3 linked regions of the Sus scrofa genome follow. The protein of the gene in region 1 purifies or fractionates together with the protein of each later gene. This does not show direct contact. Links are inferred from orthologs where the notes say so. Each region holds a gene or a part of one and is shown on either strand. Other genes may lie near its edges. The genes, in order: PLN, ATP2A1 and ATP2A2.

Region 1 (10,784 bases):
TCTATGTTTACACAATTCTCTTCACAACCAGGCAGAAGCAGCCTGAAGATTCTTTCATATAGCCAGTGTGGACCAACAAAGCTTTGGAATGTTGCTGTCACAAAATATCTTCCAATATAACTTCCAAGTTTAGCTAGCATTAGGTAATCTCAAAAGGAAAACGATGCTACCAAAGTGAAGTTTTGGATACTAGCAGACTGATGACAAACCTACTGTCCTGACCTAATTCAACAAATCCCACCCCCCACCGCAGCGACCAAAAAGATGCATACATAATCGCTTCTGGATTATCTGCAAAAAATAACAGCAAAGAATAGGAAAAAATAAAACTCCCAAATAATCTTAATTAGATAAATCCTGTAAAATCAAGTCTACAGAGAATTCTAATCTTCTGAATCAATTTAATGGAAAGAAATTTCAAAAAGTCATCTGTCAGACTATAGTCTTGGATGTGTACTACTTGAATTTACTGGCAAAATACACGGATGTTCACTAAAATAATAAACAGACAAAAACTAAATGGAAACAAAATTCTGAATGCCACAGACAGAATCTCAGGAATTTGTTTCAACAGAAATGAACTTCAGAAAGTTCTACAAAGCCCTGAAAGTGCTTAAATTACAGGTGGGGGTTACTGCTCAGCACATACAACATCGTTAAGGTATCAATTGTCTTATCAGGTCATAAAGTGACACCAAAGTTTTCAAATGTCTAGTGAGGTTCCTTTTGCACAACAATGTCTCTGATGTTATGTTAAGAAACAGAACTCACTGCAGACAAAGTGAGGACTACTGCAGAGGCTGACAAGGTACTTCCACCCCAAATGTGCCTACCATGGCACATGATAATTACTGAGGGATTAGAGTTGCCTGTGGTTTGTCCTTCGCCTTCTTCCACTTTGAAAAACAGAATACTAGCTGGAACTTAATTGTATCTACTTCCCAATTTCACCTTTTTGAGCAAAAAAAGGAAGGGTGGACATCCAAAGGCTTTATAAATCCTACAAAGAATAGTAAAGAGTTATTCTTCCCATCCCTCTGAAAATGAGAATAATCATAGTTCCCAGAGACATACAAGATACTCTGTGAGGACTTCCTGACGTCTCCATGTCACTGGCATTTCTACAGCCAAATTCCTACCCAAGTATCTTTCATATTTTCACTATTCTGATTCTAGGGCTTGGATGGTGAATTAATTTTCGAAAAGTACCCTTACTCCTCTTATCCTAAATACCTAATTTACACATATTGCTATCCTTTTAAGAGAGGAAGATAAGGCTAATTTCAGTCTCCACTGTTTGTTTAGGCCAGACGCAGGTTCAGAACATCTCAACACAATCTATTTCTGATTACCCAAAGCAATGCTCTAAGAGATTAGATAAAATGAAAATAAAGTGAAACTATTTTTCTAGGCTCTCTATCAAATACTACTGTATTAACAGCTTGGCTCTAAGAAAGGATTAAAAAAAAAGACTGCTGAAGTTCTAAAAAAAAAAAGTTCTAAACTCATGGGATGGTTGTTGAGTGAAGAGAAAAAAAATGATAAATATCTGACAACCATGCCGTATTTTATGATGTTGTGAAGGTCAAAGACAACTCTAAAAATAGGACTGTGCTATTCCCACACACAGCTTTTGAATTCTCAACATAAGACAGGAAGCCCCATCTTTTGTATGGATGAATTTTGGCTTAATTATTATCACACAGATTTTGTAAGCTCAACAGAATTAGGGCTCCACACATTTTAGATTGTATCACTGTACAATAAATTGGGACCAATAAATTGTATGCATACAGCTAACATTTCAGCATGTAAAGCAGATTTGTTTTGGTTTTAGCACAAGGTTATAAAGTGACTACAAATCACTTTAGAATTATATTTCTAAGTCTGACGGAAAACAAGACACTATCTTTGGCTGTCTCCTTTATACTTATTTTGTCTCCAGGAACAAACTGTCCTTTTCCCACAACAGTTGGCTGTTTTTAAGTATTATGAGATCATCTAAAGTATATTCATTATAGGAGTTAACATTGTGGCTCAGCGGTAATGAACCTGATTAGTGTCCATGAGGATGCGGGTTTGATCCCTGGCCCCACTCAGTGGGTGAAGATCTGGCATTGCCCTGAGCTGTGGTATAGGTCACAGACACGGCTCGGATCCTCTGTTGCTGTGGCTGTAGCCTGGGAACTTCCATGTGCCACGTGCGTGGTCCTTAAAAAAAATTTTTTTTAATTTCAAATAAATTATATTCATTATACATTCATTATTAGAGAGCTCTTATCCTTAGTGTACCTCTTTGTAATTCACAAACACCAAGTACCCATTTGTACAAAGCTTAGGCCAGGTTAATGTTGTTAATCATTAACAACAATTTAAGTTTCAATTCCCTAAGGTAAATCCTCTAAGCCTCATTTTCCTCATCTGTAAAATAAAGAGACTTAAGAACATTGGAAACTATGTGTTTAACTATCAAATTATATTATTTAAATGGTTAATTTGTGAATCACAACACTCTGATCATTAGCAATTTTCTAAAAATATTAAAGTAAATCATAAAAATCGCTTAGTCAACTTCACTGATTTATTCAAATGGTACCAATTTTGTACTAGGTACTAGAATACAAAATAAACACATGGTTCCTTATGTTTATGAACCAGAAGTCTAGTTGGGGTCACAGGCATATAAATCAAAATTATAGCATCGCCTAATGGCCATGTTTTGATATAGGTCTACTAAAAACCAGCAGAGGTGATAATCAATTCTGCCTTAAGAAGTCATGGAAGGTTTCATCAGGAACTGAGCCTTAAAGATTAACTAAAGTTCGCCTGGCAAAGAATCAAAGGTAGAGGCAGGGGGAAGGGAGACATTCCAGGCAACGCCAGAACAACATGTGCAAAAGGCAGAATCATAAAAGGGAATGAGGTATTTATGGAAAGGTGACATGTTTCATGTGACTAAAGTACCACTCATCAGCGTCAGGATAGGGAATGACTCCTATATGTGCTTCATGATGAACAACCGGCCTGCTCTTCCTTTTCCATGTTTTATCTCAGAATAGTTTTAAAATTCAGATCTTTTATACTATTTAAGTCCTAAAACCTCACAAAAATTAAGTTTAAACAGGAATTATCAATGATTCTCTACTGCCTCCTAAACTATATTATACTTTTTGAAGTATAGTTGATTTACAGGGTTGTGATAAATTCTGCTGTGCAACAAAGTGACTCAGCCATTCATATACACACATCCATTCTCCTTCAGATTCTTTTCCCACATAGATTATCACAGACTTCCAGGTAGAGTTCTCCGTGCTATACAGCAGGTCCCTGCAAACTGTACTTAATTATACAACTCATGTAAAGAGACTAGTCAAATATATACAGTAATAAGGAAAATCCTCTTTGTAATTATCTAACAGTAAAAATTCACTGTATCTACAACAAGCAAATCCAAGCCAAAACAACTTAAAGGGTGCATTTTCTTAAAGAACAAAACTCCTTTATTTCAATAGTACTTTAAGAATTCAAACTAAAGTAATTAAATATATACCAAGCTTAAGCTGACAGTTTCTAAGGTGATAACGTTACAGATAAATTAAGTAATGGCCATGAAGAATATATGCTAGAGAAACATAAGCTGTACCAACTCTTTGAAAGAATGACGTCTAGTTCGTTGTTCGGATCTCCTCACCACAGGTCAATACCATGAAAGAGACCAGAGTCCCCAGAGAAATGAAAGCTCAGTCCAATATATAATTCAAATCTTAATACAGCCAAATTGAAGCACTGAAACTACAAAATCTAACGACCATATACCACATGGTTTCTTTGTAACAAAAATTGGGAAGTTCTGACTGACCAGCCTGATACATATCTTCTTTCTCATTCTTTCAGTTCTTCCCTCTGCTATCTTTAGCACTAGTCTCTCTCAGAAACAGAACTATAGGTTGAGATGGGTTTTCTTGAGATGTGAAGCCACTAGGGAAAAAATGAAATTAGGCAGCTGGAGTAAGGTGGTAAAATCTTAATTAGCAGTGATATATCAACAAATGTTAATAACAGTTATCTCTGGGTAGTTAATAATGGTTATTTTTAAAATTTCATTTCCAACTTTTCTTGTTTCAAAATTCACATTAGAAGTATCCTTAATGACAACAAAACATCTCCAAAAGTTAACTGTTACTATCTCTGGGCAGTTAATTTATGGCTAATTTTTAATCTATATCCAATTTTCTACAATGATGCATTAAGTCCTGGGTTTTTTTATTAGCACAGATAATTATCAGGCACCAATTAATCAGATGGTTTTGTAGAAGAGCTTGTGGGAGCTCTGAAAGAATGCAAATGGAAACGCTGTTCTTAAGTACAGGTCCTCTGAAAATAACAATTATCTGTGGTAGATAGGAAGACAATGACAGTTTTATTTACTATGCCTTCTGAGTCTGAAAATCTTCAGTACTTAATACGGTCTTATTAAAATGTTACTTTAAATAGCATATCCAAAAAGCTATAAAACTGTAAAAAGGAATGGCAAACATTTCAATCTATAATTCTGATAAAATACTTCCCATTTAATGATTTTATTTTGGACTGAAATCAACATCCAGAGAAAATTTATTACATGTATTTCTTTTATATGTATATTTGCTAAATTTATTAGTAAAATGAATAGAAAACATTCATAATTTGATTTCTTCTTAAAAAATTATCTGTGATTGCTTCAGAAAATCTATACTAAAATCTCAAAACATGTAGATGTGAATAAATGTAAACTCTTCAAATGCGCTTTATTTTTACATCTTATTCCAGAAATGCTCAGAAATAAAAAGAATATCTCTTTGAAACAGTATCTAATGTCATACTTAAATGCACTCATTTCTTTTTATTAGATTGCTCTGGAGCCATTAATACACTAATGTTCACAACAATTATGCTCATAGAGAAACGGTCTTAATGAAACTGTATGTAAGAACTTGCCTAAGGGAACAGCCCAAAACAAGCTGCCCCCTAAACTAAACTATACATCTAGTCATTCTGAGAGAAGGAGGCAAGAACTGAAGTTACTGCACTCCAAACAGAAAACATCATTGTGACCATAACCAAAAAAGACAGGTTCTCAGAAAGAGACAGGCAGATGGACAAAGCCACACATAGACTATTGAGATACTGGATGTCATAAATACAAATAATGTAGAGAATGAGGGATTACACAAAACTGTTTTACCTGTTCAGAAAATAAGTTATTATACATATGATCCTAATCCATCTACTATTTTTACATTCCAGGCTGCCTAAAAGAAGACAGTGATCTCATATTTGGCTGGTAGCTTTTTCAGCTTTCTCTTGACGGCTTAAAACTTCAGGCTTCCTGCCTTCCTGGTATCATGGATAAAGTCCAATACCTCACTCGCTCTGCTATTAGAAGAGCTTCAACCATTGAAATGCCTCAACAAGCACGTCAAAACCTTCAGAACCTATTTATCAATTTCTGTCTCATCTTAATATGCCTCTTGCTGATTTGCATCATCGTGATGCTTCTCTGAAGTTCTGCCACAATCTCCAGTGCTACAATTTATCACCATCAGCTTAAAATCTGTCATCCCATGAAGAAGGGAAACAATACTATATAAGAGACCACTTCCTCAGCAGAAAGTTCTTTATGAAAAGGTCAAGATTTGGAATGAAACAAATTGTTAGCAAATGTATTCATCTGCTGGATCTTGTAAACATGAAAAGGGCTTTATTTTCAGAAACTAACTTTAAAATGACTATAAGTGTGCATAATGCAACTGTTGATTTTCTCAACAGAGCTTATAAATTTCTATCCCAAATCTTTTCTGAGGATGAACTAGGGGTTTAGTTTGGAAACTGCACTGCTAACTAGTTCACGTCATATATAAAGCATTAGCTTCACTCTTTGGGGTAAATATAATTTATACTGTACTGTAAAAGCCTCTTTGATGTTTATTAAGTATTTTTCAGGTCTTCACCAAGTGTACCAAAATAATCATTCAAATGAACTATCATTTGAAATAGCCCACTGACTCCTCACATCTGCTGTCTTTATTATCATCACACAGAATCTCTAGTGGTATCAGAACCTACATTCTAAAAGAGAACTTGTATTCTTTTCTCTATACTACACTAATATTTTAAAAAATTTATGAGAATCAAGTAGGAAAAAGACCATATCCTTACATAAACAAAATTTCTCTTAACCATTTTTCTCAAAGAATTATAGAATTCTAGTACATATAGGTAAAACTATAAATCTGTTCTCTATACACAAGAACTGCTGGTTAATTTAACATGTGACATTGTGATTAGCCATAATTACTAATACACTAATAGAATAGAATCTACCTTAATTTAAGGCACAATAGATAATTATCTGAGTTAGAACACATAACTTGCCACACTTTATCTCTGGAATCATGAAATCTTAAGAAGACATTAGAGTGATTTTATAGGTTACCTTCTATTCTAATTTCACCCACAATGTAGACAAGGGAAAGAATAAAAAATATTATTTCAAGCATTAAAAATAAAATTTGAAATATCTCTCCAGAATTAACAAATTCTTTGATTAAATTTTGAAACGAACTTTTGTCATTACTGTTCATGATAGGATATAGCTATTTTCCTTAATCTAACAACCAAATGGTAAACACCTATTTGGTAGGCCACTGTACTATGCTAAATTACAGATACAGCTATGCTAATCTACAATTATTTTTTTGCTAAATACATTTCCAATTTTCCCTCTGATCATTTAAAAATAACTTCCAACAATTCATAAAACAAAAGAAGTAAAAAAACTGGTTTGGGAAATACATTCACCAAAATTTAGTGAATTAAATTGAGTCAGTTTAAAACTGAGTCTAAAATGGTTTACATCTATACTGTATAATTCAATAATTTTAAGTTCAAGATATATAAGCAATATAATAATTATTGGGGAAGTAGAGAATGTGCAATTTATTATACGGTTTGCTAAAGTATGGTTACTAAAAGAATTGGAAAAGTCAATATTGACCTTGGTTTTCAACATAAGTGCTGCTAACAAAGGAAATAATGCTTTTAAGTTTTTTCTGAATCCCTGGATGGATGAGGATAATTTTGGATTGCTGATATTTAAGGAACAGAGGGAAAAGGGGTTTCACACTGATAGAGGGATTTCTTGAGCAAAGCCTCATCTATGGGTTGAAAATCCTATTAGCAACTAGAAGAGTTTATAAGCAATAAATGAGACAACTGCTTTACTGGTGGCAGTAATTCCCCATGTAAAAAGTAACCAATTCTATAATTAGTGTAATGACCTTAAAATAAATGGAAAATTTGAAATAATAAGTTCTACCCTTTTCATTACATTGCTCATTACAATATCAACTTAAAGCTATAAACTGTGAAAGTTATGGAGTTTTCCCTAAGTCAAACAGAAATAGTTTTTTTTGTTTTTGTTTTTCATTCTGCCTTTAATAGAAATTAAAACCTTACACTTGAGAATTACAGAATACTATAACTCAGATTATACTGTAAAATAAAACCTATTCTTTAGATGGAACTTATTCTGTTTACCAGGATGTATAAAGAGTAAAATACAATAAACTATGTATTTAAAAAATTTTAAATACCAAATGCGCAAATACTTTCTACTATAGAATAAATCCTAATATTACTGTGCAGGGTACCAACTATGAGCTAATTTTAAATGTTTAATGTCGCCTTCTACGTTTTATTTGGTTCAAAATGTTTATTTAACGCAAATCACCTACATTAAAAAGAAACTTCCTGAACCCAGTGAATTCACTCATGATTGATATGACCATAAAACAATCTAATTATAAGCAGTTTTGATTTTGTAGGCTGTTTTCTGTGACTTTTCCCTAAATAAAATAAGATCAGGATTTCCTAGTACAGACACAAGAGGGCAGACCTACATAAATTAATGAATTTCCTACTACATAGAAATTACATATCCTTGGATTACTTCTGAGTCTTCTGGCAAAGTGAGAAAATTTCAAAAAAAGTTAAGCTTTTCTGCTAAGTAACAGCACTTAAAAATGTCTAAAAATTATATACTAATACTATATAGAAAAGATGACATTAAAAAAGTTAAACATTAATGATTTTATTAAAACATGTTTTAAAAAATCAATTCTATGCTTTTTAGTTACCTAGTTAATGTATCATAATGTCATATCCTATCTATTGACAGTGTCACAGTGTCCACACCTTTCAATGCAGTTATGCTATATTATCTTAAACAGTAAAAAAAATCAATTAATTAAAAACAACACAGGGTGCAAAAATAAAAATAAGAAAACTTTCTTTTCAGAGGATGTAGTAGTATACATAAACTACCCTCACATTAAAAATAGAACCTTTTCAAATTGAAACTACAATGAGGTACCAACTCACACCAGTCAGAATGGCCATCATTAGTAAATCCACAAAAAATAAATGCTGAAGAGGGGGTGGAGAAAAGGGAACCCTCCTAAACTGCTGGTGGGAATGTAAATTGGTATAACTACTATGGAAAGAAGTATGGAGGTTCCTCAGAAAATTAAATATAGAACTACCCTATGATCCAGCAATCCCACTCCTAGGCATACATTCAGACAAAACTTCCACTGAAAAAGATACATGCACCTCTATGTTCATAGCAGCACTACGCACAATAGCCAAGACATGGAAACAATCTAAATGTCATTGACAGATGAATGGATTAAGACGTGGGACATGTATACAACGGAAAACTACCCAGCCATTAAAAAGAATGGAATAATGCTATTTGCAGCAACATGGATGCAACCAGAAATTCTCACACTAAGTCAGTCATAAAGAGAAAGAAAAACAGTATATGATATCACGTACATGTGGAATATCAAATGTGGCACAAATTAATCTATTTACAAAACAGAAAGAGACTCACAGACATAGAGGACAGACTTGTGGTTGCCAAGGGGGTGGAGGGACTGTGAGTTTGGGGTGAGTAGATACAAACTATTACATTTAGAATAGATAAGCAATGAGGTTCTACCATATAACACAGGGAACTAGATCCAGTCTCCTAGGATAGACAATGATAGAAGATAATATAAGAAAGGGAATGTGTACATATATATACGACTGGGTCACTTTGTTGCACAGCAGAAATTGGCACAACTCTATAAATCAACTATACTTTAATAAAAAAATAAACACTTTTTCATCCTTATGTCATGTTAGACGAAAACCAAGTCATTTAAGTCCTTCTACCAAATATTTATATTTTTGCTGTATGTAAGAGAAATCTTCCAGCAAAATATGTTGAAATCATTAGGTGCTAATAATATCCCGGCTGATCAAGGCCTTCCATGATTTAAATAAGCATAAAATTTTATCTTCCTATTTTAATGACTGCAACTCAGAACTCAGAAACATCCTATGGAATATGAAAAAAAAAAGAACTTCTTTGTAAATAAAGAGCCCAGTTCTTCACTCCTGGCTGGGAGATCCACTGTGAGCTTATAGGGATCCAATGGATACTCTTTGTGTGCAGAAATAGGCACCTTCCATTCCCTTCCTCCCCCAAGCCCCCACAAAAAAAAAAAAAAAAAAAAAAAAAAAAAAAAAAGGACATGCAAGAGGGGCCTGGAAAGGGAAATATTCTTTTCAAAGAGAAGACAAGACTTTGCTGTTTTTCTCTTTTGTCATAGTCCTTAAAAGTCAGACAGCTTTGGGAGAGGGTGGGAAAAGAACAGGTAATACAGAACAGAGGAAAGAACCAAAGACTTTTGGTGGACACTGTACACAAAGGACAAATCCTAACCAGCTGAGGGCATAGATGGTTTCTCTTCACTCACAGAGGAAAATGCTTCGCAGTTCACTATCTGCACTCCAGCTGATTTAGTAGGAAATCATGGGACTCAAGGAACATGACACACATAAGGCTGTGAGGCTGGCTCAATAATTATTCAGGACTGAGCCCTAATAAGAGTGACATTTTCATGTCACAATACTAACCTTTTGGGAGCCCCCATTGTGGCTCACCGGGTAATGAACCTGACTGGTATCCACGAGGACGCAGGTTCAATCCCTGGCCTCGCTCAGTAAATTAAGGATCTGGTGTTGCCATGAGCTGTGGTGCAGGTCGCAGATGCAGCTTGGATCTGGCATTGCTGTGGCTGTGGTACAGGCTGGCAGTTGCAGCTCCCCTAGCCTGCGAAATTCCTTATGCTGCAGGTGTGACCCTAAAAAGACCAGAAAATAAATAAATAGATGACATTTTGAGGTGCGAAGGACAGAGGCTCTGAGGATCAAACAAGATATAAAACACTCTGACAACTACAAAGTTCTATATAAATTTATGCTGACGTGGAGTTCCTGTTGTGGCCCAGTAGGTTAAGAACCCAACATAGTGTCCATGAGGATGTGGGTTTGATTCCTCACCTCACTGAGTTGGTTAAGGATCTGGTGTTGTTGCAAGTTGCAGTGTAGGTTGCAGATGCGGCTCAGATCTGGTGTTGCTGTGGCTGTGGCGTAGGCCTACAGCTGCAGCTCCAATTCGACCCCTAGCCTGGGAACTTCCACATGCCACAGGAGTGGCCATAAAAAGGAAAAGATAAATAAATTTATGATGAAGTTAGATTGTGACTCTAAGCCAAATTCCTTTTCTGAGTTGTAAAAGTCTTTTTTTCCACCCCCACGGTGACAGTTTAGCAGTTGTCCTTAAATATCATACACATTCTCACAATTTATCAGATGGGATAACTATTATTCTCTTTATACAAACATTAGAC
Region 2 (10,655 bases), on another chromosome or scaffold:
CACCCCCCCAACTCACCTGTGTCCCCAGACCCCCACTCCTCCCAACCAACCACCGCAGCCCCAGCAGCAGACAGCTCAGCGCCCAGCCAGCGCAACGCAGCGCAGCGCAGCAGACACGGTGGCGCCCGGGGGCGGGCAGTGCTGGCCTCATAGAGTAAGAGCAGCAGCCCGCCCCCACTCGGAAGCGTGGCAGTGGCGGCGGCATTGGCTCCAGGTGGAGCTGCAAGGGCAAGTGGCCTCAGTGCCACCCGAGGGGCAGAGGGGGCGGGCGGGGGCACAGCAGCTGGGCGAGGGCAGAAAGGGGCGCGATACCTGTGACACGGTTCAAAGAGGTGGAGGAGGGGGAACGGGTTATCCTATGGCCAGAGAGGACAGAGAGACAGCCGGTTACCCAGGGGAGGAGGCGGTGGGAGCGCCAAGGAGACCAGGTCTGCCCTGGGCTCGGAGGGAGGTCGGGGGGACCTGGGTGGGCCTGCTGGGCGGAAACTCGCCCACCTGAAAAGCAAGGGGGGGCAGGCGCCTTCGCAGCGCAGAGTGGGGGTGGGGGCTGTGCTCAGGGCCTGGGTTGGGATGGGGGGGGCGGCTGCCAGGGTTCCCAGGAGGGGAGTCTCTCACCCTCTAGATAGTTCCGCGCAACGAACTTGAGGATCTCGTCGAGCCCGATGACTGGTAAGGAAATCTTAAGAACCATGAGCCAGTGGGCCAGGTCCAGGGCCTGGAGCTTGAAGATCATCTGGGAGGAGGCGGGAAGGAGCCAGTGAGGAGGAGCCGGAGGACCCCCAGCCCCCCCCCTCGGGCAGCACCTCTGGGCGCGGACCCCTGCGGAGGGGCCCGTGTGGGTGGGGAGCAGGCCACCCTGGCTGGAAGGAGGCTCACCGGCAGAGGGTCCACGTACAGGATGAGGAAGTGGAGGGACATGGAGAGGCCGATGGAGCCCACCAGCCAGATGTTGACCCAGGGCGGCATCCGCATGAGGGACTGGTTCTCAGACAGGCTGCGGGGTCGGAGGGGAGGTGGGATGGGGCCGGGGGTGGAGACACGAGGAGAGAGATGGGGTGAGCAGGGAGAGGAGGGCCCCCGCAGGACAGAGGGCGTGGCCTTCAGGAGGCGAGGGGGTGGGGGCCCACCTGTTGAGAGCATTGCACATCTCGATGGTGACCAGCACAGACAAGGCCATGGTCATGGGCTGGGGGGCCTCGAAGACCTCACAGTCCACACCCTCAAAGTCGGGGTTGTGCTCTCCGCACTTCATGAAGTGAGTCTGCAGGGGGAGGGAGGGTGAGCTGGGGTCCTTGCAGGAGCCTCCCAACCACCCCCCCCCCCGCTCCCCCCACTCCCTCCTCTGCCCTGCCCTACCAGCTGGCTGTAGGTGACATGAGGGCCATCGTCAGCGTACAGGAACCACCAGGCTGCTGCCCCCACAGTGGCTGCACCCACGTAGCCTGTGGTGGAGAGAAGATGGGAGTTGGGGGGGCAGGGCTGGGGGGATGGGAGGAGTCGAGAGGGCCTCGTGGACAGCTGGTGGAGGAAGAGCCCCCCCCCCTGCCAAGGTGGCTGCGGTGGACAGGCTGGTGTCCCACAGAGGCGATCGTCCCCAGGGCTGGGAAGGAGCGTGGGGTCCCATCCGGCTCACCCCCAATTGCCATGTAGCGGAAGAAGAGCCAGCCACTGATGAGGGGCTCTTTGGGGCTCCGGGGGGGCCGGTCCATGATGTCGAGGTCTGGAGGGTTGAAGCCCAAGGCTGTGGCCGGGAGCCCGTCCGTCACCAGGTTCACCCACAGCAGCTGCACGGGGATCAAGGCCTCAGGCAGCCCCAGGGCAGCTGTCAGGAAGATGCTGCCAGAAGGAGGCGGTCACATGTCTGTCCTGGATCCCGGGCCTGCGGTCACCCCTCCCTCCACCAGCCCCGGGTTCCTCCTGGATGGCCGGCCCAGCTGCTCACCAGACCACCTCGCCCACGTTGGAAGAGATGAGGTAGCGGATGAACTGCTTCATGTTGTTGTAGATGGCGCGGCCCTCCTCCACCGCGGCCACGATGGTGGAGAAGTTGTCGTCCGCCAGCACCATCTCGGAGGCTGTCTTGGCCACGGCAGTGCCGGATCCCATGGCAATGCCGATCTCGGCCTTCTTCAGGGCGGGGGCGTCATTGACACCGTCACCTGTCTGTGGGGAGAGAGAGAAGGTGGGACGCAGCCCCTTCCGCAAATCCCACTTAAGACGCTTCTTTTTTTGTCTTTTTGCCTTTTCTAGGGCTGCTCCCACAGCATATGGAGATTCCCAGGCTAGGGTCTAATCGGATCTGTAGCCGCCGGCCTATGCCAGAGCCACAGCAACGTGGGATCCGAGCCATGTCTGTGACCCACACCACAGCTCACGGCAATGCCAGATCCTTCACCCACTGAGCAAGGCCAGAGATCGAACCCGCAACTTCATGGTTCCTAGTCGGATTCATTAACCACTGAGTCATGATGGGAACTCCCGAGACTTTTCATCAGAACCGAATCCTTCCTCTCTGTGCCCCTTGCTAAGGCCCCTGCTCAGGCCTGTCCTCCCGGGGTCCCCAGCTCCCCAAGGCGGTCAGCTCTCCGGACACTAAGCAGACCACCCCACGCCAGACCCCCATGTACTCCGGTTTTCTCACCATGGCCGTGATCTCATCATAGGACTGCAGATACTCCACGATCTTGGACTTGTGGGAGGGCTCCACGCGGGCGAAGCAGCAGGCGCGCCGGCAGGCCTCCCGCTGCTCAGGCAGGGGCAGGTCGTCGAACTCCCGTCCAGTGTAGGCTCGGTCGGCCACATCCTCGTTCTCCCCAAAGATGCCAATTCGTCGGCAGATGGCAATGGCCGTGCCCTTGTTGTCCCCTGTGATCATGATCACCCGGATGCCAGCATCGCGGCACAGCTGGATGGAGCCCGTGACCTCCTTGCGGGGCGGGTCCAGCATGCCCACCACACCCACGAATGTCAGGTCCGTCTGGGGAGGGAGCGGAGAGCGACAGGGTGGGGGAGGAAGGCTGGGGGAGCTGGGGCAGCGGGGGTGGGTGGGGGGGAAGCTGTCCCTGGGCCAGGTGTTCAAGCTTCAGTGGGGCTTCGAACGAGGGCAGCAAATGTGCCTTGTTCACAGATAGACCTGCAGGCCTGGCGGCACCAGGCCCGTCACAGGTGGCAGAGCGGGTCTTTCATAGAAAGAACTCGAGCTGGAAGTGGGGGAGGTGGTTTCTGCTTCCAACAAGGCCACTCCCTTGGTCTACACCTTTGAGCCAATCTATGTCACTGTCAGGCCATACTGCTGCTTCTATAAAATGTGGACTTTGGTGCTCTGCAGAGAGCAGGTCCACTACGAGATAAAGAGCTGGTGCCAGAAGGTCGATGCAACTATTTCTTTCCTTTTTTTGGCTTTTTTTTAGGGCTGTACCCGAGGCATATGGAGGTGCCCAGGCTAGGAGGTGCCCAGCCTACCCCACAGCCACAGCAATGTGGCATCCAAGCCACATCTGCGACCGATATCACAGCTCACGGCAATGTTAGATCCTTAACCCATTGAGCCAGGCCAAAGATAACCCGTGTCCTCATGGATGCTAATCTGGGTTCATTACCGCTGAGCCACAAGGGGAACTCCCCAATGCGTGTCTTAAGAAAACCTCACTGTCAGAGTTCCCGTCGTGGTGCAGTGGTTAACGAATCCGATTAGGAACCATGAGGTTTTGGGTTCGATCCCTGGCCTTGCTCAGTGGGTTAAGGATCCGGCATTGCCGTGAGCTGTGGTGTAGGTCACAGACACAGCTCGGATCCCTTGTTGCTGTGGTTGTGGTGTAGGCCGGTGGCTACAGTTCCAATTAGACCCCTAGCCCGGGAACCTCCATATGCCGCGGGTGCTGCCCTAGAAAAGGCAAAAAAAAAAAAAAAAAAAAGACAAAAAAGAGAAAACCTCACTGTGGAAACACAGCAGCGGCACCTAGTCACATGGCTGACTTCCATCCTGGCACGAGCACCTCCCTTCATCTCAGACAGGTCTACGGACCACACACAAAGTAGCCCTGGACTAGGTGATGCCTAAAGTTCTTTCAAACTCAAACGGCCTGTGACTCAAAGGAGGAAATGACAGGGGTGCTGGTGGAGGGGGTGAGGCGGGTGCCTCGGAGGCCTCGGGAGGCTTCCATGTGCTCACCTCGTACTCCATGAACCTGGCAGAGTCATCCAGGACCATGTCCTCTCGCTTTGGGGGGGTGTCGCGGGTGGCCAGGGCCAGGCAGCGCAGGGTGTCCCGGCCAGTGCCCCACTCCTTGATCACCGACAGAATCCTCTCCTTCACCGGCCCTGTCATCGGCACCCGGGTGGTACCAACCCGCACGTAGTTACAGCGCTCGATGACCCCCTCGGGAGCGCCCTGGGAGAACGGGACACAGTCCTCAGAGACTACGTGCCTTCGAGCGCACAGTGTCGGGGGAGCAGGGATAAGACAGGGGTTTGGGGTTAGGAGGAAGGGGGGGTCCGAGGCACGCTCGGATTTCTGACCTTGACAAACATCTTGTTGCCCACAGCAGCCCGGGATTTAGCTGGAGAGCAATAGACGGACATGGACTTTCTGTCCCGGGAGAACTCCAGTGTGAATTCCTTCTTCATTAGCTGGCGAATCACCTGGGAGAGTGGAGACAGGGAGGGAGAGGCCAGACATGAGACATGAGACCGGTGGGGAAAGAGCAATGATGCTGTGTTGGAAGGGAAGAGTTCCAGACCCCTTCAAACACAGTCGAAAAGGATCCGGAGGTCAGAGTGGACCCCAAGTTAAGTCTGAGATAAAGCTAAGTCTGGCACCTACAGCAGAAATGAAGAACATTCCAAGGCTAGGGCTGGCTGTCACTGTCTTACGGTGTCCAATTAAAAGCACAATAGAAACAGAAGGATGTGGAGTTCCTGTCGTGGCTCAGTGGAAGCGAATCTGACTAGGATCCATGAGGACGCAGGTTCGATCCCTGGCCTTGCTCAGTGGGTTAAGGATCCGGCGTTACTGTGAGCTGTGGTGTGGGTCACAGTTGTGGTTCGGATCCTGCATTGCTGTGGCTGTGGTGTAGGCTGGCGGCTGTAACTGATTTGACCCCAGCCTCCATATGCTGTGAGTATGGCCCTCAAAAGCAAAAGAAAGAAAGAAAGAAACAGGATGATGTAACATGGTACTGTCCAGTAGAACCATCCGTGGTGGGATGTTTTAATATTCTGGATGGTCCAATATGGTGTATGGAGCCCAGGAAAAGTGAGTTTTTACTTTTATTAAATAACTTAAATGTAAACAATCACGGGTATGCTTCTACAGACGGGGGTTGTTAAACCATGGACCTGGTGCCTGGTACGCAGTAATAAACACTCCATAAAGATGAATGTACCAAATGTATGCTGGATGTTTCTCCACAAAATAAAACAAAAACAATAAATAAAAATAAGGTGGGAGTTCCCACTGTGGCTCAGCAGATTAAGAACTTCACTAGGATCCATGAGGATGCAGATTCGATCCCTGGCCTCGCTCAATAGGTTAAGGATCCTCTGTGGCCACAGCCCCAGGGTAGGTCACAGATGCAGCTCGAAGCCATGGTGCTGTGGCTGTGGTGCAGGCCTGTACCTGAAGCTTTGACACAACCCCTGGCCTGGGAACTTCCATATGCCACAGGTGCAAAAAAAATAAAAATTAAAAAATAAGGTAATGTTTATATTATTTGTAAATTTTAAAAATGAATCCTTGGAGTTCCCGTCGTGACACAGTGGTTAACGAATCCGACTAGGAACCATGAGGTTGAGGGTTCGATCCTTGGCCTTGCTCAGTGGGTTAAGGATCCGGCGTTGCCGTGAGCTGAGGTGTAGGTTTGCAGACGCAGCTCGGATCTGCATTGCTATGGTTCTGGCGTAGGCCTGCGGCTACAGCTCTGATTCGACCCCTAGCCTGGGAACCTCCATATGCCGTGGGAGCGGCCCAAGAAATGGCAAAAAGACAAAAAAAAAAAAAAGAATCCTTTAGTGATAGATATTTAAGTTATTTTCATTGTTTTTGTTTCATTAAACAAAGCAGCAATGAGCATCTTGCATATACCAAAAAGAAAAAGGAATGAGCAATGTGGAGAATATAAGGTAAACCCCAAAGGGGTTTAGTATGGACATTCAAAAATATTAGTAGCAAAAACTTAGGGAGATAGTCACATTCAGAACTGAGCTTGTTCATCGGAATAAGGGAACGCAGAGGCATGTGCAACAGTCACATTTCCCAAATCCCACATCAGGTCTTGAGATCTGATCAAAACAAGTGTGTTTTCTCTGGTGTAGGCCGGTGGTTACGGCTCCCATTCGACCCCTAGCCTGGGAACTTCCATATGCCACAGGAGCGGCCAGAGAAATTGCAAAAAAGTCAAAAAAAAAACACCAAACACAAGTGTATTTCTAGTTTCAAGTGTGTTTCTACGGGTCAGAGTTGAAACTGGGGCTGCTCCAGGATGGGTCACTTGTGGTTTCTGTGTCCAGCTCCATCCTCCATCCCTTTCAATGAGGGAACCAACAGGAATACTCCTTTTTTTTTTTTTTTTGGCCTTTTCTAGGGCCACACCCATGGCATTTGGAGGTTCCAGGCTAGGGGTCTGATCAGAGCTGTAGCCGCCAGCCTATGCCAGAGCCACAGCAATGCAGGATCCGAGCTGCACGTGCAATCTACACCACAGCTCACGGCAACGCCAGATAGGAATACTCTTTTTTATTTATTTTTTTTTTAGGGCCACACATGCCCAGCATATGGAAGTTGCCAGGCTAGGGATTGAATTAGGGCTGCAGCTGCTAGCCTACACCACAGCCATTGCAACACCAGATTCAAGACACATTTGGTTGTTTTTGTTTTTTGTTTTTTGTTTTTTTTTTTTGTCTTTTGTCTTTTGAGGGCTGCACCTGCGGCATATGGAAGTTCCCAGGCTAGGGGTCCAATGGGAGCTGAAGCCGCCAACTTACACCACAGCCACAGCAACGCCAGATCCGAGCTACGCCTCTGACCTACACCACAGCTCATGGCAACATTGGATCCTTAACCCACTGAGCAAGGCCAGGGATTGAACCTGCGTCCTCATGGATGCTCGTTGGGTTTGCTAACCCATGAGCCTTGCCGGGAACTCCCAAGACGCATTTGTAACCTACGCTGCAGCTTGCGCCCATGCTGCATCCTTAACCTATTGAGTGAGGCCAGGGACTGAACCTGCCTCATGGATACTAGTCGGGTTTTTAACCCACTGAGCCACAACGGGAACTCCTGGAAAAGTCATCTTCCATTCATTCAGGGCTGCTGCAGCTGGGCCCCAGGAAGAGCAGTACAGGTGCAGGGGTAGGAGCCAACACAAAGTCAGCCAAGGAGCACACTGGAGAGGCCGCCTGCCTATGCTGGGGCCAGATGGGTGCAGGGGAAAGGGGTGGTGTTTCCTGAAGTTCCTTAGGTCCTGGCCTGGGCAGCGTGGGGGTGGAGAAGGCCTGCAGGGAGGAGGGAGCCCAGACTCACCGAGTTGCAGGCGTTGGCCCTCTCCACCTTCGAGAGGTTTCTCACGTCGGTATTGAATACGTTCATCTTCTCCACCAGGGTGGTGAGCGCTGTCTCAGTGGCCTCACCCACCTTCTCATACACACCTTTGGCCTGGAGAGGGCAGAGGAAGAAGAGGATGTAAATGCCCGGGGTCCTCCTGGCCCCTCGATCCCACCCCATCGCCCGCCTTCCACCTAGAAGGGGAAGGGAGCCAGCCGCCGTCGTCCCCTGACACCCAGGAGAGGGCTTGGTGCAAAGGACACCTTTCCCCTGCCCCCTGCCTTGTGGCCTGCGGAGGAGGCCTGGATGCGGAGGCAGCTGGAGGGGGAAGGAGGGGCGGCCTCGGGAGCAGAGAGGAGAGGTTACCTCGTTGAAGTCCAAGGAGGAGTCATTGCAGAGGGCACAAATGGTGGCCAGCTCCACCAGGCCATCATACTGCCCTGCCCGGACTGGCTTATCATTCTTCAAGCTGGCGGCAGGGCCGGGGGAAGGAAGGGAAAGAGACAGGTGGAGAAGAGAGGGAATGAGATGCAGAGAGAACCCAGGGAGCGCCACCAGGGACGGTGCGGGAGATGGCCACCCATTGGGAGATAAGTGGGAGAGAGAAGGAGGTCAGGGAAGGAACAGGAGAGAAACAGGAAGGCAAACTAGAGGGAGTCTGGGCGTTCTCATGGGGGCGCCATGGAAACGAATCTGACTAGGAACCATGAGGTTGCGGGTTCGATCCCCGGCCTCGCTCAGTGGGTTAAGGATCCGGCGTTGCCGTGAGCTGTGGGGTAGGTCGCAGACACAGCTTGGATCCCGTGTGCCTGTGGCTGTGCTGTAGGCTGGTGGCTACAGCTCCGATTCAACCCCTAGCCTGGGAATCTCCATAGGCCGCGGATGCGGCCCTAAAAAACCAAAAAAAAAAAAAAAAACCAAACAAACTAGAGGGAGGCGCCCCCCAACCCCCAACAAAGAGGAGGTGTATGTGTGAGGGGGAGGGGCACGAGGAACTGGGATGAGGATGATGACTCTGGGGGCACTTACACCTCTCCTTCTGGAGCGTAAGTGGAGCCGGTGATGGAGAACTCGTTCAGAAGGCAGATGTCCCCTTCCACCTTGTCGATGACAAACATCTGCAGAAGAGAAGGGCAGGCACGCGGAGGTCTAACTGTGCCCATCCTTGAAGGCAGGCTGCAGCCTGGGGAGGCCCGAGCCCCGAGCGCGCCTCTGTCCGGCCCTCTGCGCGGACTTAGCCAACTTCCCACCCTCATCCCCCCACTGGTCCTTCCCTTTTCCTCCTGCACCCTCCCCTTTCCCACCGCACCCCTGCAATTAGTCTCCCCTGTGCGAGTGGCCTCAAAAGTTACTGCAGGTCAAGGTTCGAGCCCTGGCCTCGCTCAGTGGGTCAAGGATCTGGCGTTGCTGTGGCTGTGGCATAGGCTGGCAGCTGTGGCCTGGGAACTTCCACAGGCCTCGGGTACAGCCCTAAAAAAAAAAAAAAAAAAAAAAAAAAAGGAAGACCTATTTCAGAGTTCCTGTCATGGCTCAGTGGAAACAAATCTGACTAGCATCCGTAACAATGTGGGTTCAATCCCTGGCCTTGCTAAGTGGGTTAAGGATCCGGTGTTGCCATGAGCTGCGGTGTAGGTCACAAACCCAGCTCAGATCCTGAGTAGCTGTGGCTGTGGTGTAGGCCAGCGGTTACCTCACCGATTGGACCTCTATCCTGGGAACTGCCATATGCCGTGGGCATGGCCGTAAAAAGACACACACAGATACACACACACAAAAAAATGTTACTGCAGGTCCTGCTGGAGGTTCCATCAGGTCAGCTGGTAAAGTAAGACGTGCACCATAAGGCGTAGTGGGGACTGTGGCCACCAGTCCACCTGTGAGCACATGGCCCATCTACAGCCCCAGCCTCTGTGCCCAGATCTTCCAGTTTTGTAGGAAGAACTAGAAATTCTGGTTATTTTCCTATGCAATCACTTGACGTTTCAAATGTGGGTGATTCATTGATTCCTATGAAACATGACAGGAGCCTAGGAGTCTGGCTTTGAAGCCAATGCTTTGGAGGGATGTTGATCGCACCACGCAGAGGGGAGCAGCCCTCTGAACCAGAGCAGGTGTGGGGCCTTAGGACGTGTTCCAAGACAAAAGGCTTCTGCGGCCAGGTCATTTGGGGAAACTCTGGGTTAAACAAAGTGAAATCCACCCTCTCTATGAAGGGTCAGCCTTCCCTGAGGCTTTCAAATGCCAAGAGGCATGGGGGTCTCCCCAGGGGTACATCCTTTCTTGGCCTGATCTGACAGCACAGCCCCTGATTCTCAGAACAGCAGTTTCTATTCATCGGATAAAAGTCCCCCAAAGTCTGTTTAGGGCAAGGCTCTTTGCCTGGGGTCCATGGAGGATCCCCCACCCCCTCCCCGCACTGGACCAAGGGATCTGTAAACTTTGACGGCCAAACAAAAATGAGGAGTTCCTGTCGTGGCGCAGTGGAAACGAATCCAATTAGGAACCATGAGGTGGCAGGTTCGATCCCTGGCCTCGCTCAGTGGGTTAAGGATCCGGGGTTGCCGTGAGCTGTGGTGTAGGTCGAAGACACGGCTTGGATCTGGCATTGGGCTGTGGCTGTGCTGTAGGCCGGCAGCTGTAGCTCCAATTCGACCCCTAACCTGGGAACCTCCATATGCTGCAGGGGCGGGCCTAAAAGGACAAAAGACAAAAAAAAAAAAAAAAAAAAAAAATGACACCTTGTCTTTTCTCTCTGACAGTAAACATTTCCTCCCACTTTATGAATGTGGACAATGGACCACATTAGTATTAGCAAAACCTGTGACTTGGCCACCAATATAATCACACATAGTCTCCTCTCACGTTGCATGGTTGCAGAGCTCTCAAAATAGCATTTACGCTCATCGCAGCTTTAGCGTTATGGCAATTCTGAGCTCCACGGCTGGACTTGCCACTTACTGCATTAATAAAGAAGCATAACGCACAAGTCACAGGTCTCTTTTTAAATTATTTCGATGGCTGGTATTTCTTTCTTTTCTTTTTTTTTTTTTTGTCTTTTTGCCATTTTCTTGGGCCGCTCTCATGGCATATGGAGTTCCCAGGCTAGGGGTCGAAT
Region 3 (10,784 bases), on another chromosome or scaffold:
TCATCTAAGTTTACCAAAAATAGAGAAGGAGAGTCTTTTGTTCTTTGACTTAAGTCAAGGTACTGTATAGAAGTTATGTAACATCTGTATGTGGTTCAACGTTGCTTTTCTTGCTCAATGGTTTTGAAGAAATTGAGCGGTTGCAGTGTGATTTTTTTCCCCTTTATTTACTTATTTATTTATTTTTTGTCTTTTTGCCTTTTCTAGGGCCGCTCCCACGGCATATGGAGGTTCCCAGGCTAGGGGTCCAATTGGAGCTGTAGCTGCCAGCCTACGCCAGAGCCACAGCAACGCTGGATCCGAGCCAGGTCTGCAACCTACACCATAGCTCACGGCAACGCCGGAACGTTAACCCACTGAGCAAGGGCAGGGATTGAACCGGCAACCTCAAGGTTCCTAGTCGGATTCGTTAACCACTGCGCCACGACAGGAACTCCTTTCCCTTTCTTTTCTAAAATGCATTCTTAGCACCACTTAAGGCATGCCTCTGTGTACTGGTACTAGGGTATTTCAAAAACTGTTCTAATTAAAGACTTTTCTTTAAATTATGTACAACCCAAACTGTTGGTGTTTTGGAGTTCCCTGATGGCTCAGCAGTTCAGGACTTGGCATTGTCACTGATGTGGTGCAGGTTATCCCTGGCCTGGGAACTTCTGCATGCCAGGGGCTCAGCCAAAACAACAACAAAAATGTTGATGTTTTGTATGGATTACAAGTACAGCATTCCTTAATTCTGCTATTCATCTCGACTGTTAAAGAACCAAGTATGTACGGCATGAAAACATTAAGACTCTTTTCTCTTAAATAAACTCCAAGGTAACGACCCCTAAAGCACCTGTCTGCCTGATACCTACTTTAGCAATAATTTTTTTTTCCCCAAAATTCCCTGACTCCACAAAGTAAATAAAAATGTATTTTATCACTGTCGAAAAAGAAAAATATACATGTACCCCTATGTTCATAGCAGCACTATTTATAACAGCCAAGACACGGAAGCAACTTAAGTGTCCAATAACAGATGAACAGATAAAGATGTAGTACATATATACAGTGGACTACCATTCAGCCATAAAGAACAAAATAATGCCATTTGCAGCAACATGGATGGACCTAGAGATTATCATACTAGATAAAGTCAGAAAGAGAAAGACAAATACCATGTGATACCACTTATATGTGGGATTTAGAATATGGTACAAATGAATTTATCCACAAAACAGAAACAGACTCCTAGACACAGAGAACAGACTTGAGGTTGCCAAGAGGGAGGGGTGGGAGAGAGATGGATTGAGAGTTTGGGATTAACAGATGTAAACTATTAAACATAGGCTGGATACAAATAAGGTCCTATTGTATAGCACAGAGAACAATATTCAATACCCTGCGATAAACCATAATGGAAAAGAATATGAAGAAGTATATATATGTATAACTGAATCACTTTTCTATACAGCAGAAATTAACACGACACTGTAAATCAACTACACTTCAAAAAAAAAAAAAAAAAAAAAATGATGTCCCGGAGCACTGCATTTTGCTTCTACTAAAAATTGGCAAATGTACATTTAAATTAAAAGCATAAAATTAAGATAAATTATCTCAGACCTCAAGGACAAAGATGCCAACTAAAATCAGTTTTAAAAAGCCCCTCCCCACCCCACCCCTCAAGTTCCCCAACCCAGCGCAGTGGGTTAAGGATCTGGCATTGCCGAGGCTGTGGTATAAGTCAAGGATGCAGCTCAGATTCAATTCGTGGCCCAGATACTTCCAGATGCCATGAGTGCAGCCGAGAGAGGAGAGAAACAAAAATAAGCACCCCCCCAACTATCAAAAGGAATATTTACAGTATAGGGGTGAAAAGGGATAAATAATCATAGATTCAAATAGATTACATCAAAAAAGTCTGCTTGGGGAAAAACAAGTATCTTACTACAAACAAGTACATCTTACTTAGAAGACCTTCTAAGGTTTCCTTTGTTCTAAAAGCTATAACTCCTACCTCCTTCACTCAAACCCAAATAGGTCTAAAATGTCATTCCTCAAACACACTTTGTACCTTTCTGCTCATGCCACCCCCTCTCTAGAATATCCTCCCCAGCCTCCACCCACAAAACTACCATTTCTCTATAGTTCTCCCAATCGCTTGTCAGCTTTCCCCCTGCCGCCAATATCACTTTACACTTTTTTGTGTGTGTGTCTTTTTGCCTTTTCTTGAGCTGCCCCCGTGGCACATGGAGGTTCCCAGGCTAGGGGTCCAATCTGAGCCGCAGCCACTAGCCTACACCAGAGCCACAACAACGCCAGATTCGAGCCGCGTCTGCAACCCACACCACAACCCACTGAGCAAGGCCAGGGATCAAACCTGAAACCTCATGGTTCCCAGTCGGACCCGTTAACTCCTCACTTTACACTTTTAAGTTTCCTTACCTCCAGAAAGCAAGAACCCTCTGGTATTGATCATATCATTCTGTATATTATGTAAACAGGATTAAGATATAAGAATGTTATTCTTTTCTTCAAGCTAAGACAAACATAAAAGTCTTGTGAAAACTGCTTTAAAATTTCACTTCTGAATTCAGATCAGCCTGCCCTGGATGCAAATCCCAGATACTCTGTGTATGTATGTACTCCCTGTACGTCCTTTGATACATTCATCACTCTGAACCTCAATGTCACATCTGTCAAATGGTAATATCATCTGCTTTAGAAAATCACTGTAGGAGTTCCCGTCATGGCTCAGTGGTTAGCAAATTAGACTAGGAACCATGAGGCTGTGGGTTCGATCCCTGGCCTTGTTCAGTGGGTTAAGGATCCGGCGTTGCCGTGAGCTGTGGTGTAGGTTGCAGACACGGCTCGGATCCCGTGTTGCTGTGGCTCTGTTGTAGGCCGGTGGCTATGGCTCCAATTAGACCCCCGAGCCTGGGAATCTCCATATGCCACGGGAGTGGCCCTAGAAAAGGCAAAAAGACAATAAATAAATAAATAAAGAGAACAAAAAATTAAAAAAAAAAAAAGAAAATTACTGTAAACATGAAATAGGAATGTATACAAAGCATGCACCATGTAACTAACATAAACGAATTAAAAACTGCATAGGACACTGAGAAGGACAATCTAATGCTGTGTATTGTTTCTTTTGCCTAAATTATTCAGAAAAAGATCATTTCTACTTAAATAAAAGCAATTAAAAAAATCAAAGTAAGGAATACAGTTCAATTAAAGTTTTCTTCTAAGTAGGTATCCTCATAAATGAGCCCACCACATAAAGGCCTTCGCATTCACTAATAACATCAGAAGTTTCCAATTCCAATAGGACTAAGTATGTTGATGTTTTCCCTAAGACTGACAGATGCACGAGATTTTAGTCCCAGAAGAAGTGAACATATCCATCAAACCCTAAAAGATGAATACTTAAAATGAATGTGACATATTACTGAATCTGTTAAAATATATCAAAAACAAACATCAAACAAATCAATAGAACAATCCTAGCAAAGCTAAATTCTCAAACTAGCTATCTGCAGAAGACCAATCATGTGAATGTGAGGCAGGGGTATGATCCTGTTGTATTTCTGCAGTAAAATTAGCTTCCATTCTGTGAGTAATAAAGGTCTGGGCACTGGGCAATTTAGGGAAAACAACCAAGAGTATTCTTTGAAGGTAAAACAATTTAAGACTTAATTTTTTAACTAAATCCACACACATCCACACAATTCATGGACAATAAAAACGATACTGACTTTGTGAAGTTCTTCCATAGGAAACATAAAGAGAAATGATGCTTCTCAAATTTTCTTTTTTCTTTTTTTTTGGTCTTTTTGGGGCCACACCTGTGGCATACGGAAGAAGTTCCCAGGCTAGGGGTCTAATCAGAGCTACAGCCGCCGGCCTACACCACAGCAACACCAAATCCTTAACCCTTTGAGCGAGGCCAGGGATCGAACTCACAACCTCATGTTTCCTAGTGGGATTCGTTTCCGCTGTGCCACAATGGGAGCTACTGGTTCTCAAATTTTCTGATTTTACCCAGGTAGCTTCTCTCATCCACTTCATGCTGCCATGAAGGATAAGCAATTTTAACAGCAAAGTATGTATGCATGAGAGGGATAAAACTGACACTACATAAACTAATAGGCAAAAAAACCACATCTAGTTCCACAGATATTTTTAGTCAACATAGCAGGAAAAACAGATAACAGAAAGACTAACAAAGTTTAAATACTTACATATTATCAAAATTTAGCATTGAAGGAACTTTTCTTACCTGCCATACACCCACAATTGCATTGGCTACTAATATAAGTAAAATTACAAAGGGTTCTACAAAGGCTGTAATTGTTTCTTCGCCTTCTTCAAACCAAGCCAAAACCTGTAAGAGAAATGGCACACATTAGAATTGTGGTATGTTCTTAGGCTTTTACAACAAAAGTGGCCGGCATGAAACAATTACAAGATAAAAAAATCTCTTTTCTTACCATCCTTAGAAACAAATGGTAGCAAAATGTAATGACATAAACAACACATATCTTTTTCCTAATAATTCTTAAGACTCAAAACTATAAACTTCTTAATAATATCCTTAAGAGCCTTTTTTAATGTAATAATTGTTTTAAAATCCTAAACAAGTACTTTTGGGGAACTAAACCCCATTCATTTTATATGTGTATAAAGAAAACATTCCTGATTTTGTTAAAGTAAAAAGCAATCAAATTTTGTTAATTTGATTAACATTCCTATCAAATAAATGCTCACATGGCATAAATTCATAGCAAAAACAATTTGACCATTGACTCAAAATTAGATATATAAACTGTTAATGTCCCACTTATTTTCAGTGGTGTTACTGCAAGGTTGTTCTGTGATCAGGAATCTCTCTTGAAGGTTATGACATCTAGTGTATCAATACAACAGTTCAGGATATAAAAGCCCCAAAATGTTACAACTGGGCCCAGAACACTGTCCCAAGAAAAATGAACAAAGAATTAACTTCTAACTCACACAACTGTAACTTTCAGATTTAAAAGCTACAAGTTGAGAGTCACACTGTACTTCATAACTGAGCAAGCCTAAGATTGTGAGAAAGAATTTAACACGGTGTATCTGAAAATAATAAAAAACATGTTAAAAGAGGCATATAAATGGTTAAAATTTCAACAACCAATTTTTGTGGGAAACTGCCAATCCAGAAAAGACGTTAAACATATCTAATGGATTCAACCTGAGAGGTAAGATGTGTGTGCCTCTGCCTTTTAACATTGCTTTGGATGTTTGCATATTTCACAATAAAATATTTTAAAAGATCTATTCAGTAAACAATGGAAGCACCATTTTTGATACTCTTTAATATTGTCAGATATGATTTATAATAATAATGAAGCCATCTGACTACTTTTATACTTAGTAGAATACTATAAAGTGAGCTTTGACACAAACAGCAAACCAGAAAGATGATTAAGGCAAGGCCCAACCTGAATTTTGGAAGTAAAAGAGAATAATGATAAATTAACAAGAAATATCAACTTGGAGGGCAGGTATGCTCACGACTATACCACCAACACAAGAAAGATCAATTTAAGCAGGAGAAAAACCAGGAAACACAAGAACTAGGTCCTGATAGATGCCAATCACTGCTAACAGCTAATGAACCAGGGCAGGCAGAAAACCAGAATGAATATAAATGTTGCTCAAAGCTTTCAACAGGGCATTCCTGGTGTTAAGGCTAGGCCTAATGCCAGAATAAAAACTTCTCTAGGAAGTTATAAATACTGATAGATGCAAGATCACAGCTGCTTTGACACTAGCCTTCCAAATATTTGCCAAGGAGAGCATATCAGAAATAAGAAACTTAATTAGCTCTTGGGGGAGAAAAATTGCTCAACTTGAAGAATAACTAAGACCTTTTCAAAAGGTCAGTGAGGCATTAGCAACTGTAAGATAAGCTTCACACCTTGTTAAAGTGGGTATGAATTTCCCTCTTGGCAGCTGAGCCTGAGGAACAAACTTAAAGCAATATCCCCTACCAGCTAGAGCAAAGGAAAAGACTAAGGCAAGCATGACAGGATTACCAAAGCAAACCTCTACTTTTCATGAAATGTGTGGTTCATCTGCACAAGTGGTATTCATCAATAATGCAATAACCCTCACCTGCACAATGTAGTAGACTTTTCTTCCACTGCATTATTATCATTATTGTTATTTTGGCTGCATTTGCAGCAAATTCTCAGGGACAGGGATCAAATCTCAGCCAAAGCTGGGACCTATACCACACAACACCAGATTCTTAACTCACTTCGTCACAATGGAAAACTCCTCCAATATGAATTTTAAAATGTGTATGTGTAAGAAACACAGGAATGCATAGTTATTTGAAGGTTCTGTAGAATTACTGAATGTATAGTTACTGCTTGATGAGATACTAGAGGACAAATCTCTCAGCCTGGAAGGATAGAACTGAACCTATTAAACACTGACAACTAGTAATTTTCTAACTACTTTAAAAAACATCCTTTTCTGGAGTTCCCATCGTGGCACAGGGGTTAATGAATCCAACTAGGAACCATGAGGTTGTGGGTTTGATCCCTGGCCTTGCTCATTAGGTTAAGGATCCAGCGTTGCTGTGAGGTGTAGGTGGAAGATGCGGCTAGGGTTGGGTGTTGCTGTGGCTGTGGTGTAGGTCGGCGGCTACACCTCTGCTTAAACCCCTAGCCTGGGAACCTACATATGCTGCGAGTGCGGCCCCAGGAAAGACCAAAAAAAAAAAAAAAAAAAAAAAAAAAAAAAATCCTTTTCTGGAGTTTCCATCATGGTGCAATGGAAATAAATCTGACTAGGAACCATGAGGTTGAGGGTTCGATCCCTGGCCTCGCTCAGTGGGTTAAGGATCCAGCACCTCCATGAGCTGTGGCGTAGGTCGCAGACATGGCTCGGATCTAGCATGGCTGTGGTGTAGGTGGGCAGCTACAGCTCTGATTAGACCCCTAGCCTGGGAACCTCCATATGCTGCAGGTGCGGCCCTCAAAAGACAAAAGACAGGAAAAAAAAAAAAAGAAGAAGAATCCTTTTCTTGGAATTCCCATTGTGGATCATCGGATTATGAACCCAACTAGTATCCATGAGGATGAGGGTTCACTTCCCGGTCTCGCTCAGTGGGTTAAGGACCCAACATTGCTGTAAGCTGTGGTGTAGGGGGCAAAGTTCAGATCCAATGTTGCTGTGGCTGTGGTGCAGGCTGGCAGCTGCAGCTCCAACTCAACCCCTAGCCTGGGAACTTCCACATGCCACAGGTGCAGCCCTAAAAAGTAAACAAACAAACAAATAAAAACAAATTTTTTTTTTTGCCACACCCATAGCATACAAAAGTTCTCAGACCTGGGACAGAACTCCAGCCACAGCAGTGACAAGGCCAAATCCTTAACCATGAGATCATTAGGGAACTCCAAAAATTATCTATATTTAAACCCACAAATGCAAGTTCCCGCTGTGGTGCAGTTGGTTAAGAATCCAACTGCAGTGGGTCGGGTCCCTGTGGAGGTTCAGGTTTGATCCCCAGCAAGGCACAGGGGGTTAAAGGATCCAGCGCTGCTGTAGCTGTGGCTTGGATTCAGTCCCTGGCCTGAGAACGTCCATGTGCTGTGTGTGCATCCATAAAAAACAAACAAAAAACCCAAAACCTCACAAATAACCTTAAGAATTAAATGCTACAACTCAAATTGAAGATCAACTGTACTTCACTTACTGCTAAGAACGAATCCAGTGAATTATGTTCAAACCACATTGTACAATCCTTCATGGTTTTGTCCTACTGAAAAGAAAACCTCTCTTGGGTAAATGGGAAGATGATGCTGACAAACAAAAGACTCCACGAGTTCCCGTTGTGGCACAATGGTAATGAACCGGACTAGTAACCATGAGGATGCAGGTTCAATCCCTGGCCTCGCTCAGTGGGTTAAGGATCTGGTGCTGTTGCCATGAGCTGCGTTGTGGTGGTGTAGGTGGAAGACATGGCTTATATCTGGTGTTGCTGTGGCTGTGGCCAGCAGTTACAGCACTGATCTGACCCCTAACCTGGGAACTTCCATATGCTGTGGGTGCACCCCCCCTCAAAGGACTCCATGAGATGGGGAAAGGGTAAATAGAAATGAGGGAAACTGGATGAGTGACATGTTGGGTTTTTTTTTTTTTGTTTTTTTTTTTTGGCCTTTTTCTAGGACTGCTCCCACAGCATAATGGAGGTTCCCAGGCTAGGGGTCTAAATCGGAGCTGTAGCTGCTGGCCTATACCACAGCCAAAGCAACGCCAGATCCAAGCCGCATCTGCAACCTACACCACAGCTCATGGCAACGCCGGATCGTTAACCCACTGAGCAAGGCCAAGGATCGAACCCACAGCCTCATGGTTCCTAGTCATATTCGTTAACCACTGCGCCACGAGGGGAACTTCTTTTTTTTTATGTCTTATTAACATTTATTTATAGTCAGTTCATAATTATGGTTTACTAGAAGTTATAAAAAATACACAAGAAGGGAAGAACGTTTCTAAAAAAAATTGGGGGCAGGCTGAATATAAAGGATTATCTGTTTGTATTTCCTTTTGTTTACTAATCTATCCCCAGGGGCCTAGAAGAGTATCTGGTACCTAACTAATGCTCACTATACATTTACTGAATTGAAGCATGAATGCATGAAACAAAATCTCATACAATGTCTAAGGTTTAAGTCCCTACCTGGAGTATGCGAACTTAAGCATTAAGAGAGCAAAAAGGTAACCAACTTCAACAATTTCAAAAAGAAGTAGAAGGAAAGGCTACTACAGTATAATTTTAGGCATAAACATTGTTTCTTTCTTTCTTTGCTTTATAGTTAATACAGAAAGTAACAGTACTTCTGGGGCTTACATTATCCAGCAAGTTCAAAACTTCAAATTTGTCAATCCTATTCAAAGTAACCACTTGCTAGGTTATTTCAGATAGAGATGATAATTAGAGGATACCCTATCCTAACACTGATCTCTGTACATCAGGATAACGTCTGACAGTACAGCCAAAAAATGCTAGGGAGTTGAGTTTAATGAATTAAAAAAAATTTATCCAAGGTAAAAAGGCCTATTCTGGTGTAAACTAGGAGAGAGTCATGGTACCGTGACTCAGTTATCTCCATGTCAGGATAATGTCCTGAGCTCTTAAGACCATAAGAAGAATATGAGAGGTCATAAGTACATTCTTAAGATCGAGGATCTTAAAACATGTATAAGGTATGCATTCCCCCCTTGTATCCTTAGAAAATTTGCAATGCCTTTGCACTCAAACACACACACAAAAAATTTACATCAAAAATTTTTTTCAAAAGAGGAAGCAGAAATTACACTTCACAAGAAAAATACCACCAGTAAGTGTTATGGCAATTTTCTGGGTTGAGAAACAAAAATTCTTTCAGCTATTAAAAAAAGAAAAGTATGAATTAGACTATACGTTCTCTTCTGATCCAGAAACAAAGCATATGTCTAAGCTTGTGTTTCAGATTTGAGAATATAATTTAATTTAAAACAAACCAAAAAACCCCATACACATTCACCATCGAAACTATATTTTATTATTATTATATTTTTGCTCTGTAGGGCTGCAACCAAGGCATATGGAAGTTCCCGGGCTAGGGGGCTGAACTGGCACTACAGCTGCTGGCCTACACCACAGCAATGCAGGATCCAAGCCACGTCTGTGACCTACACCAGAGCTCGCAGCAACGCCGGATCGTTTTACTCACTGAGCAAGTCCAGGGATTGAACCCGCATCCTCCATGGTTGCTAGTCAGATTCATTTCTGCTGAGCCACTATGGGAACTCCCCAAATTACATTTTAAAGAAAGGCTCTATATAAACCAGTTAACTGCCCATTTTATCCTTTAAAATAAATTAAAAGTAAACACAGGAAAAATTTAAAATCACTACATTATTAAATACTCAAAAATATCTGAGAAAACCAAAGTAAACGATTGTCAGTATTTCGAAAATGCCAGACGCAAACTCATCCAGATGTTTGTTATATCAAAAGCACTAACCTAGGCTCTAAAAGGAATTAAGAATCCGTTCAAAGAGTACAGTGGAAAGAAAAGACAAATTATTCAAATGTAAGCGAAAGTTCAGAAGTGTCTTGGTCTAGGAAAGTTTTATTAGTATTTTAGGGTTAATCTGAATAGCTGAGGTAGGGAAATGGGGGTGGAGGGTAGCGAAACTCGCACAAGTTGCATTGCCACAGAGGATCATGATTCAGACAAATAAGACAAATATGGTCCTTGAGCTCACTTTCTTCAAGTAAATGTCACCTCAGATGCCTTTCCTGGCTGTCCCATTTGACAACTGTACTCCTTCACCATTTGTCCCTATTCCACCACCACCCTCCTTCTCCACTTAACTTTTCTCAGAGCACTATCTCCAATCCAACAGATTATTATACATTTTACTTTTTTGTCTCCACTAGAATATCAGCTCCAGGTTAAGAGATGTTGTCTGTTTTGACTGATGCTGTATTCCCAGTGGGCATGCATGCCATGCACCTGAGGTGCTCAATACCCAACAAAGCAGTGAAGAGAGAAAAAAAAGAACAGGCATTCCAATTAAGCAACCACATGATGTGTTATACGAAGGGCAAAGGTGACCAACAAGGAAAGACAAAGTGAAAGGATAGGAAGGTCCTGAAAACCAAATTAAGGAATTTCTACTATTACTTAATAACTATGGCAATATCTAGCTCACTTCTTCCAATCCAAGTGACCTTAAAAGAACAAAAAACC

What was found.
Region 2: the proteins of PLN (region 1) and ATP2A1 purify together in Homo sapiens (affinity purification with western blotting, with the first as the bait; 3 studies listed by BioGRID). This does not show direct contact. The link is inferred for Sus scrofa from reciprocal best matches to the Homo sapiens genes PLN and ATP2A1.
Region 3: the proteins of PLN (region 1) and ATP2A2 purify together in Homo sapiens (affinity purification with western blotting; 4 studies listed by BioGRID). This does not show direct contact. The link is inferred for Sus scrofa from reciprocal best matches to the Homo sapiens genes PLN and ATP2A2.

The regions. Positions count from the first base shown.
Region 1 is NC_010443.5:43,444,517-43,455,300, reverse strand, and holds the end of PLN (cardiac phospholamban), read left to right. Parts: intron 1-5,286; 5' UTR 5,287-5,384; coding exon 5,385-5,543; 3' UTR 5,544-5,947; downstream 5,948-10,784. UniProt on the Homo sapiens protein: Reversibly inhibits the activity of ATP2A2/SERCA2 in cardiac sarcoplasmic reticulum by decreasing the apparent affinity of the ATPase for Ca(2+).
Region 2 is NC_010445.4:18,557,250-18,567,904, reverse strand, and holds part of ATP2A1 (sarcoplasmic/endoplasmic reticulum calcium ATPase 1), read right to left. Parts: intron 8,659-10,655; coding exon 8,570-8,658; intron 8,010-8,569; coding exon 7,907-8,009; intron 7,652-7,906; coding exon 7,520-7,651; intron 4,642-7,519; coding exon 4,519-4,641; intron 4,391-4,518; coding exon 4,172-4,390; intron 2,978-4,171; coding exon 2,642-2,977; intron 2,164-2,641; coding exon 1,943-2,163; intron 1,837-1,942; coding exon 1,634-1,836; intron 1,443-1,633; coding exon 1,357-1,442; intron 1,262-1,356; coding exon 1,128-1,261; intron 995-1,127; coding exon 877-994; intron 734-876; coding exon 616-733; intron 357-615; coding exon of another isoform or gene 352-356; exon of another isoform or gene 313-351; intron 1-312. UniProt on the Homo sapiens protein: Key regulator of striated muscle performance by acting as the major Ca(2+) ATPase responsible for the reuptake of cytosolic Ca(2+) into the sarcoplasmic reticulum.
Region 3 is NC_010456.5:31,678,610-31,689,393, reverse strand, and holds part of ATP2A2 (sarcoplasmic/endoplasmic reticulum calcium ATPase 2), read right to left. Parts: intron 4,370-10,784; coding exon 4,265-4,369; intron 1-4,264.